3 linked regions of the Anolis sagrei genome follow. The protein of the gene in region 3 purifies or fractionates together with the protein of the main gene of each other region. This does not show direct contact. Links are inferred from orthologs where the notes say so. Each region holds a gene or a part of one and is shown on either strand. Other genes may lie near its edges.

What was found.
Region 1: the proteins of AMFR (region 3) and DERL2 purify together in Homo sapiens (affinity purification with western blotting; 4 studies listed by BioGRID and IntAct, with this or other methods). This does not show direct contact. The link is inferred for Anolis sagrei from reciprocal best matches to the Homo sapiens genes AMFR and DERL2.
Region 2: the proteins of AMFR (region 3) and RNF185 purify together in Homo sapiens (affinity purification with mass spectrometry; 3 studies listed by BioGRID and IntAct, with this or other methods). This does not show direct contact. The link is inferred for Anolis sagrei from reciprocal best matches to the Homo sapiens genes AMFR and RNF185.

What each region holds. Positions count from the first base shown.
Region 1 is NC_090031.1:30,189,158-30,192,915, forward strand, and holds the start of DERL2 (derlin-2), read right to left. Parts: upstream 2,447-3,758; 5' UTR 2,422-2,446; coding exon 2,329-2,421; intron 1-2,328.
Region 2 is NC_090034.1:49,579,716-49,583,473, forward strand, and holds the start of RNF185 (E3 ubiquitin-protein ligase RNF185), read right to left. Parts: upstream 2,926-3,758; 5' UTR 2,790-2,925; intron 1-2,789. Other genes in the region: CXH12orf43 (protein CUSTOS), read left to right, coding at 3,005-3,413. UniProt on the Homo sapiens protein: E3 ubiquitin-protein ligase that regulates selective mitochondrial autophagy by mediating 'Lys-63'-linked polyubiquitination of BNIP1.
Region 3 is NC_090028.1:6,655,785-6,659,542, reverse strand, and holds the start of AMFR (E3 ubiquitin-protein ligase AMFR), read right to left. Parts: upstream 2,271-3,758; 5' UTR 2,039-2,270; coding exon 1,781-2,038; intron 1-1,780. UniProt on the Homo sapiens protein: E3 ubiquitin-protein ligase that mediates the polyubiquitination of lysine and cysteine residues on target proteins, such as CD3D, CYP3A4, CFTR, INSIG1, SOAT2/ACAT2 and APOB for proteasomal degradation.

The sequences.
Region 1 (3,758 bases), on a different chromosome or scaffold from region 3:
TTACACTTTTGCACCTTTACTTCAATCTCTAGCTTCTTGTAACCCATGTGAATGATCTCTGACAAAAGCTTGGAGTTCCACATTTTGGCGCCTTTGCGAACGAAAATTGTTTGAAATAGCAACCTTCTTCAAGCCTCCACTAGTTGTTTGTTATTGCTTACAATATTGTATATGTGTGTGTTGGTATGCAGTTTTCCTTAACTCTGTGTTGTGGGAGGGGCTGCTGACGATGTGATCAGACCTGGGACTATTCAGGACTCAGACTCCATTTTAGAAGGAGTATGCTTTTAGATGTCAGTAGAAACAGAATGCTTTAGGAAGAAGACAGAGGCTCCATTAGACTCTGAAACTTTAGACTTTGGGCTGTTAATCATTGAATCCTAGAGTTGGAAGAGACCTCATGGGCCATCCAGTCCAACCCCATTCTGCCAAGAAGCAGGAAAATAACATTCAAAGCACCCCCGACAGATGGCCATCCAGCCTCTGTTTAAAAACCTCCAAAGAAGGAGCCTCCACCACACTCCGGGGCAGAGAGTTCCACTGCTGAACGGCTCTCACAGTCAGGAAGTTCTTCCTGATGTTCAGATGGAATCTCCTTTCTTGTAGTTTGCAGCCATGGCTCCATGGGGTCCTAATAATAATAATAATAATAATAATAATCTTTATTTGTACCCCGCCACCATCTTCCCAATGGGGATTTGGAGCGGCTTACATGGGACCAAGCCCAAACAACAATTACAATAAAGAACAACCGAATGCAAACCGAAAACGCAAACAATAAACAACATCATAATTACATAAAACATATGAATATACAGCAATATAAAATTACAATAAACACAGTGACAATGGGTGGGCTACATGTAATGGTTAAAAGAACTAATTAAAACTGGTTAAAAACTCGAGTGAGATAAAAGAGAAACAAATTATTTGTGGAGGAGGGCTCATTATAGTGGGAGATGTGGAATCAAATTTTCCCACGAGGGGGGGACGGGGACGTATACTCCAGTAAGAGTCCTAGTCTCCAGGGCAGCAGAAAACAAGCTTGCTTGCTCCTCCTCCCTATAACATATTCCCCTCACATATTTATACATGGCCCTCATCATGTCTCCTCTCAGCCTCCTACTACAACTCCCATCACCCCCAATATGCAGATAAGCTTTGTAAGGAGGGGAATGGCTTAGGGAGAGGGAGGGAAGCCTTGATTCTGGTGCACATGCACTCTGGGCTGGGAAGGAATGGGTCCCCCTGCTCCTACTCCCACTCTCATCCCGCGGGGCCTACTATGTAAGTAGATCAATAGGTACTGCTCTGGTGGGCCATCCAGTGCAACCCCATTCTGCCAAGAAGCAGGAAAATTGCATTCAAAGCAACCCTGACAGATGGCCATCCAGCCTCTGTTTAAAAACCTCCAAAGAAGGAGCCCCCACCACATTCCAGGGCAGAGAGTTCCACTGCTGAACAGCTCTCACGGTCAGGAAGTTCTTCCTAATGTTCAGATGGAGTCTCCTTACTTGTAGTTCGAAGCCATTGTTCCATTGCGTCCTAGTCTCCAGGGAAGCAGAGAACAAATTCGCTCCCTCCTCCCTATGACTTCCTCTAACGTATTTAGATTCCAGGGCAGGGAGTTCCACTGCTGAACAGCTCTCACAGCCAGGAAGTTCTTCCTCATGTTCAGATGGAATCTCCTTTCTTGTAGTTTGAAGCCATTGCTCCATTCCGTCCTAGTCTCCAAGGCAGCAGAAAACAAGCTTGCTCCCTCCTCCCTAGGACTTCCCCTCACATATTTACACATGGCCCTCATCATGTCTCTTCTCAGCCTTCTCTTCTTCAGGCTAAACATGCCCAGCTCTTTAAGCCGCTCCTCATAGGGCTTGTTCTCCAGACCCTTCATCATTTGAGTCGCCCTCCTCTGGACACATTCCAGCTTGTCAACATCTCCCTTCAATTGTGGTGCCCAGAATTGTATTCCAGGTGTGGTCTATCATTATCATTATATTATTATTATTATTATTATTATTGTATCATAATAATCATTATTAATGTGTTGTTAATAGACTTTGGGCTGTTAAATGATCAAGGGTCTGGAGAACAAGCCCTATGAGGAGCGGCTTAAAGAGCTGGGCATGTTTAGCCTGAAGAAGAGAAAGCTGAGAGGAGGCGTTTGGAATCCTCTCTGTGAGGCCTGAGTGTACAATCCCCCCTCGATTTCTCTTCGAAGACCCCAACCGATTGCGGCCTAGCTTCCCCTCAGGCCTCCCTCCCCCCTCAGGCCTGCCTCCGCGCTTCCCTCCGCCCCCAATCCCTTTCCGGGCGCGACTCACGGACCACGGCGGCGGTGGTGAGGACGCAGGCGGTGGCGTAGGCCCGGGTGACCGGCGGAACCTGAAGGTACTCCTGGCGGAAAGTCTGGTACGCCATCTTGCCTGGCGTGGCCCCACCCTCCTCCGCCCGGCCAATCGGAGCCCGAAGCGTGTTCCCCTCCGTCTAGCCAATCCCAGCCCTCCGCTTCTCTCGCCCGGCCAATCAGAATCGCCTTTTGCTCGCCGGCGCCGCCAATCGCAGCCCTTCCCCGCCCCCTCGCCTCGCGCCGCCGCCCATTGGTTCCCTCTCTCCGCCAATGGGAGGCCTCCACCTCCGGATAGCTTTGGGTCTGGACCAATGGGAGCGCGGGATGGGCAGGAAAAAGAGGAGGAGGCGTGGCCAGGCGAGGTTTTCAAGAATGGGCGGGAACGCCGTTGCTTTCCATTCCGGTCAGGCCTGGTGGGAAGTCAGTCCTGTTTATATGTATAGCAGACGCAGGGATTGAAGGTTTGCCTCCTTTGGGGTAAGTCTGTACTTGATTCTGCATGTGTAGAGGATATGAGACAATAATAATAAAGGGTATAATTTCATTGTACATATGCACACATAGATATATACCCATAAATACATACATATATATGTATACAATTATATTATATATATACACAATATATATAATATGTGTAATGGTACAATGAAATGTGTAATTTCATTGTACATATACACACATATATGCCCAAATACATATATATATATGTGTGTGTGTGTGTGTGTATAAATATACACACACACACAAAATTATATTATATTATATTATGTTATATATATTCATGAGAGCCCCAAGTGGCGCAGTGGGTTAAAGCACTGAGCTGCTGAGCTTGTTGATCGAAAGGTCGCAGGCTCGATTCCGGGGAGCGGTGTGAGCTTCCGCTGTCAGCCCTAGCTTCTGCCAACCTAGCAGTTCGAAAACATGCAAATGTGAGTAGATCAATAGGTACCGCTCCGGCGGGAAGGTAAGGGCGCTCCATGCAGTCATGCCGGCCACATGACCTTGGAGGTGTCTACGGACAACACCGGCTCTTCGGCTTAGAAATGGAGATGAGCACCACACCCCAGAGTCAGACATGACTGGACTTAATGTCAGGAAACTACCTTTACCTTTACATATATATATATACACACACACAATTATATTATGTTATATATATTCATAATATATATAATGGTATAATTTCATTGTACATATACACACACACACATACATATATATATACAATTATATTATATTATGTTATATATATTCATAATATTTATAATGGTATAATTTCATTGTACATATACACCCATAAATACATATGTGTGTGTATATATATATATATACTCACAAACACACACATATATATATACAATTATATTATATTATGTTGTATATATTCATAATATATATAATGGTA
Region 2 (3,758 bases), on a different chromosome or scaffold from region 3:
TCTTAGATGTTTTGTTTTCCCTCCAGAATGGACATCCCAGTTCCACAGACCACTGCAACCCCCACAAATGAAAAGCCTAGACCACAAGACCAACAGAACATACTGGAGGAACATGTTACAGGATATGGATTTGTATAGTAAGTTTTGACAAGGATCATCTCCTATGTGGGTGTGTGTTGAGGAAGAACACCAGGACACTGAAGCAATTAAATGTGAGCCACTCCCTGATTAGTGTATATCAGGTGAAGTCTTTCTTGATGTATTCAGTGAGTGAGATGGTGTGTGAGAGAGAGGAGGTCTGATCAGATAATCAGAGACCAGATGGGATTACACTACAAGAATTGCTGACTATTTACCAAGAAAGAAGCAGCTAATGCATGTATTTAATGCATGGATTTTGTAAGTTATTTTTTCTGCAATGGACAATGTATATTTCCAAGGCTGGTGTGCTTTCTTTGTAAAGCTGCATATTTGACTACTCAAGAGTAAAAGTTATTTTTTCCTTCTACTCTGTGTGATTCAACTTAAGGGCTGGAGCTGGGAAGACTGCTGAGTAGCTTCCGTATAGACTAATAAACCGCAACAGAACACACATGGCACACAGAATCTTGATGGTCAACATACCAAATTTGGCTTCTACCCCTCTAATAAATACTGTTACTAGTTAACTAAATGATATTACCTAACACCTAGAATATATTAATAATAGAATCGAATATTAGTAGAATATAATAATATAATAATACAATAATGGAATATATAATACAGTAGAGTCTCGCTTATCCAACCTTTGCTCAACAAACATTCTGAATTATCCAATGCAGTCTGCCTCCTGCCCGGAGACACAACTGTTTCAATAAATTGCGATGTTTTGGTGCTAAATTTGTAAATACAGTAATTACTAAAGAACGTTATTGTGTACTGAGTTACTTTTTCTGTGAATTTGTTGTAAAACATGATGTCTGGTGCTTAATTTGTACAATCATAATATAATTTTACATTCATTCCTCCTTATTATCCAACATTTCATTGATACAACATTCTGCCGGCCCATTTATGTTGGATAAGTGAGACTCTACTATATTACCAGCTGTTAGGATTTCTGGGAGTTGAAGGCCAAAAACATCTGGGGACCCCAGGTTGAGAACCACTGCTTTAAAACCATGTTCACCCACTTTCACTGTACTGGAACCCAATTATCTAGTCATGCCAATGACTTTTTATACTTGACTAGTATGTTGTTTTTTCTTTTTCTCTCTTTATTTTTAACTTAATGTTGATATGTGTTATGCCCATGCTATTCACTAATAAAAATGAATCTTAAAAAAATTATAGAAGCATATATTAATAGAATAAAACTATAATATAATAATGTGATATTAATAAATACCATACTGTAATATATATATCTATATAAATAAAAATGTAATGTTCGTTTGTGGGATTAACATAACTCAAACACCACTGGACGACTTGCCACCAAATTTGGCCACAAGACACCTACTAACCCAAGGAGTGACCATCACTCAAAAAAAATGAGGTTGTCATTTAGGTATGAAATTTTATCTTGACATTTTAATGATGATATTTTTAGTTATCTTTTAACCTAATCAGGTTTGAATGTGTGTTGGTTCGCTGTTGTGGGGGTCTTGGGATGGTGATTGTTGTCTGTTTTTGATGTTGATGCGGTCAATAGACTTTGCTGCTGAGGTTGTCATTTGGGAGTTGTAGTTTCTGGGACTTATAGTTTACTTACAATCAAAGAGCATTCCGAACTCCACCAATGATGGAATTCAAACCCAAATATGGCACACAGGACTCCCATGACCAACAGAAAACACTAGAAAGGTTTGGTGGGCACTGACCTTGAGTTTGGGAGTTGTACTTCACCTACATCCAGAGAGCACTGTGGACTCAAACAATGATGGATCTGCACCAAACTTAGCACGAATCTTCCATATTGCCCAAATATGGAAACAGATGGAGTTTGGGGGAAATAGACCTTGACATTTGGGAGTTGTAGTTACTGGGATTTATAGTTCACCTACAACCAAAGAGCATGCTGAACCCCACCAACGACAGAATTGGGGCAAACTTCCCACACAGAATCCCCATACTTATGGCCATCCAGTCCAATTCCCTTCACCAGGACAAGAAAACGTAACCAAAGCCCTCCTGACAAAGAGCCATCCAGCCATAGATAGAGATATATATGATTGACACACACACAGATACAGTATCATAGATAGAAAGGAACCCCTATAGATGGACAATGATATATTTCATATGTTCCAGAGTAGGCAAACCAGACAATCTCCACATCAACACTGACAAAGAATCAGCAAGAAATACAGTTTACCCACAAGCAGAATGACATGACATATGTTAGAAACGAATACTTTCTAATTATTTTCCAGATCACCAGACTGGGCCACAGCGACGCGTGGCAGGGGACGGCTAGTATAGTAATAATATAATAGTAGAATAATACTACTAATAATTAGATTAATATAAGAATATATTATTAATAACATATAATAGTAGAATAATAATAATATGAGAATAGTGGAATATATAAATAATAGAATAGACTATAGCAATAATGATGGAATATATGAATAATATAATAGTAGAATAATAATAATATTACTATAATAATAGAAGAATGCCCTGTGGTAATAATAGAAGGAAATACCATTGGAAACCCCTCTAATAAATATATATAAGGAGGAGGAGGCTAGGCCGCAAAGCCTGCCTGGGCGTGAGGCATGCCTCTCAAGCCTACTCACCGAAAGTAGCCCCCTGCCTACTTCCCCTCACGCCGGCAAGCCTCCCCGCCAGCGACGCCTCCCGTTCTCCCTCCGCCGTCAGCTGATTCGATTAAGAGGGTTTTCCCGGAACCGGAAGTTACCAGGGACACTTTAAGCTACGGCACCCGTGCGCGCCCTGAAAATGGTTCCGCCACTTCCGCGCAGGCGCACTCGCTTGAGAGGAAGCCGACCGAATGCCTGTTTTCGCGCGGACGGATGCGCATTCGTCTCCGGCCGTTGACTTTGGCTGGTCGTTTCGACGCATGCGTACTTATCTCCCTCCGTTGCCTTTGTTTTGTTGTCTCTACGCATGCGCACGCTGGTTTTTTTTTTTTTTGCGCCGACGCATGCGCACTCCGTTTTTCTGCCTCGGTCTGGAAAGGGTTGCCTCGCTTTCCCATCCCCGCGCATGCGCTTACTGCTCTGGAAGGCAAACTTATCGGCGCATGCGTACTTCGCCTGGCTTTCTCCTAATGGCGGCGATTGGGAAGAATGGTCTCAATATTGCCAGCAGCAGCAGCGACGAAGACGAAGCAGAGGTCTTGCAGCGTGTCCGTGAAGCCGCCTGGGACCCTCCCCGCGGAGGCTTGGAAGCCTCGGCCGGTAAGGCGACAAGGAAAGCCCGCAGGCTTCAAAAGCGGCCTACTCGCAGGCACGAGGGCGCATCCGGACTCCAACTCCCAGAAGCCTCTTCCCTCGCGGCCAATGGCAAAGTCTTTCGGGAGTTGGAGTCCGTACCTGCCGGAAAGGCCTCTGGGGATTGGTCTTCTCCAGGAATCACGTGATTATGCTGCTAGAAGCCTTTTCGAAGGAGGCTGCAGGAAACACAAAGATTTATAGATATAGCTATAAATATAAATATTTAATAAAATATAATAATAATAATAATAATAATAATCATATAGTAATAATTAAACTATACAATAAAGATAAAAGTAATAAAATATA
Region 3 (3,758 bases):
AGGTTCTTGTGGGTTTTTTCGGGCTATAGAGCCATGTTCCAGAGGCATTTCTCCTGACGTTTCGCCTGCATCTAGAAATGCCTCTAGAACATGGCTCTATAGCCCGAAAAAACCCACAAGAACCTAGTGATTCCAGCCATGAAAGCCTTCGACAATACAATATCTCTTATTACTACTGAAAGTTATTGTTTTGGTTCAATGTTATTGTTATTATTGAAATGTATTCGTACTATAATAATAATATCTATTATTATTAATGAAAGTTATTGCTATTACTGAATGTTATTGTTATTATTGAAAGGTATTATTATTAGCTGTTAGTATTATTAAATATTATTATTATAGTACTAATACATTTCAATAATAACAGTATCTATTATTACCACTGAAAGTTATTGTTTTGATTCAATGTCATTGTTATTATTGAAATGTATTATTATAAACAATTATTATGATGACTGAAATGTATTATTATATTGTAAATATTAAATTGTACTATTAGTATTAAAGTCTATTATTATTACTGAAAGTTATTGTTATTATTCAATGTTATTGTTATTATTGAAATGTATTCGTATAATAATAATAATATCTACTATTATTAATGAAAGTTATTGCTATTAGTGAATGTTATTATTATTGAAAGGTATTATTATTAGCTGTTAGTATTATTAAATATTATTATTATAGTACTAATACATTTTAATAATAACAATATCTATTATTACTATTGAAAGTTATTGTTTTGATTCAATGTTATTGTTATTATTGAAATGTATTCGTACTGTAATAATAATATCTATTATTATTAATGAAAGTTTTTGCTATTACTCAATTTTATTGTAATTATTTAAAGGTATTATTATTAGCTGTTAGTATTATTAAATATTATTATTATAGTACATTTCAATAATAACAATAACATTCAGTAATAGCAAAAACTTTCATTAATAATAGTAGATATTATTATAGTACTAATACATTTCAATAATAACAATATCTATTATCATTACTGAAAGTTATTGTTTTGATTCAATGTTATTGTTATTATTGAAATGTATTATTATATTATTATAGTACTAATACATTTCAATAATAACAATATCTCTTATTACTTCTGAAAGTTATTGTTTTGGTTCAATGTTATTGTTATTATTGAAATGTATTATTATTTTTAGCTGTTAGTATTATTATTAAATATTATTATTCTTGAAATGTATTATTATTAGCTATTATTATATACTATTATTATTACTGAAATGTATTATTATTAGCTGTTATTATTATTAAATATTATTATTCTTGAAATGTATTATTATTATTAGCTATTATTATATACTATTATTGAAATGTATTATTATTAGCTATTATTATATACTATTATTATTCTGGAAATATATTATTATTATTAGCTGTGAGTATTATTATTATTAAATATTATTATTACTGAAATATATTACTATTATTAGCTGTTAGTATTATTAAATGTTATTATTATTATTATTGAGATGTATTATTATTGTTATTATTGAAATGTATTATTATATTATTATAGTACTAATAAAATTCAATAATAACAATATCTCTTATTACTACTGAAAGTTATTGTTTTGATTCAATGTTATTGTTATTACTGTAATGTATTATTATTCGCTGTTATTATTATTAAATATTATTATTATTATTATTGAGATGTATTATTATTATTATTATTATTATGACAAATACTGAATGGTGGTCCTATGATGGATGTGGATGCTGAGAGAGAGGTCCTTCTTACCCAGACGCAGAGGCTGTCGGAGAGGAGGAACGCGGCGACGTCGAGGGCGGAGGGGCCCGGGGTCTCTGCGGAGGAGGCCTCTTGGCGCCGCGGCCTTTCCTGCTCCTCGGGCCCGCCTTCCCCTCCGCCTGCCCCGGCCTCCCCAGCCTGGAGGGCTCGGTAGGCGCTGAGGGCGCTGCCCAGGAGGGCCAAGGCGCTGAGGGCGGCGTAGCTGCGCAGGCTGGGCCACGGGAAGCGCTCCAGGAAGAGCAGCGGCATGGCGGGCGGTGAGGGAGAAGGCTGTGAGGGAGGCTGTGAGGAAACAGGCCTGTTGGGCCTGGTCAGCCCCGCGCTCGCCTCCCCACGCCCTCCGCCCGCTCGGCTGGCCAACGAGCGCCGCCCCCGGAGAGACAGAGCAGGAGGAGGAGGAGGAGGAGGAATGCGGCCTTGTGACGGGGAAGCGGCGCCGCTGACGAGGAGGAAGGAAGAGAAGGAAGGGAGGAGGATTGGAGAAGGAAAGGAGGATAGGAAAGGAAGGAAGGATTAGGGAAGGAAGGAAGGAAGGGAAAGGAGGAAGGAACAGAAAGGAAAGAAAGAAGGGAGGAAGAAGGATTGGGGAAGGAAGGAAAGATTAGGGAAGGGAAGGAATAAGAAAGAGAGGAAGGAGGATTAAGGAAGGAAGGGAAAGGAGGAAGGAACAGAAAGGGAAGGAAGGAAAGGACAGGATAGAAGGAAGGAAAGGAGGAAGGATTAGGGAAGGAAGGGAAAGGAAGGATTAGGGAAGGAAGAGAAGGAGGAAGGGAGGAAGGAGGATAAGGGAAGAAAGGAATGGAAAGGAAAGGAAGAAGGAAGGAAGGAAAGAGGGTTAGGGAAGGAAGGATAGAAGAGAAAGGAGGAAGGAACAGAAAGGGAAGAACGAAGGAAGAAATATGGAAGGAAGTGAAGGAATAGAAAGAAAAAAGGAAGGAGGATTGGGTAAGGAAGGAAGGGAAAGGAGGACAGAAAAGAAAGGGAAGAACAAAGGAAGGAGGAATATGGAAGGAAGGAATAGAAAGGAAAAAAAGAAGGGAGGAAGGGAAAGGAGGAAGGAACAGAAAGGGAAGAACGAAGCAGGATTATGGAAGGAAGGGAAGGAATAGAAAGGAAAGAAAAAAGGGAGGAAGGAGGATTGGGGAAGGAAGGAAGGGAAAGGAGGAAGGAACACAAAGGGAAGAACGAAGGAAGTGGGATTATGGAAGGAAGGGAAGAAAAGGACAGGAAAGGAGGAAGGAGTATTAGGGAAGGAAGGAAAGGAAAGGATCAAGGAACAGAAAGGGAAGAAAGAAGGAAGCAGGATTATGGAAGGAAGGGAAGAAAAGGACAGGAAAGGAAGGAGGATTAGGGAAGGAAGGAAAGGAAAGAAGGAAGGAACAGAAAGGGAAGAACAAAGGAAGCAGGATTATGGAAGGAAGGGAAGGAATAGAAAGGAAAGAAAGAAGGGAGGAAGAAGGATTGGGGAAGGAAGGAAGGGAAAGGAGGAAGGAACAGAAAGGAAAGAAAGAAGGGAGGAAGGAGGATTGGGGAAGGAAGGAAGGAAGCGACTTCAGGAACAGAAAGGGAAGAAAGAAGGAAACAGGACATCTATCTATCTATTATCTGTCATTTAGATAATAGATAATAGTCCCTCTATCTATCTATCTATCTATCTATCTATCTATCTATCTATTATGTCATTTAGATAATAGATAATACTCCCACTATCTATCTGTCTGTCTATCTATCTATTTATTATCTGTCATTTCGATAATAGATAATCCCTCTATCTATCTATCTATCTATCTATCTATATCTGTTATTTCATTTACATAATAGGTAATAATCCCTCTATCTATCTATCTATCTATCTATCTATCTATTATCTGTCATTTAGATAGTAGATAATAATCCATCTATCTATCTATCTATCTATCTATTTATTATCTGTCATTTCGATAATAAATAATCCCTCTATCTATCTATC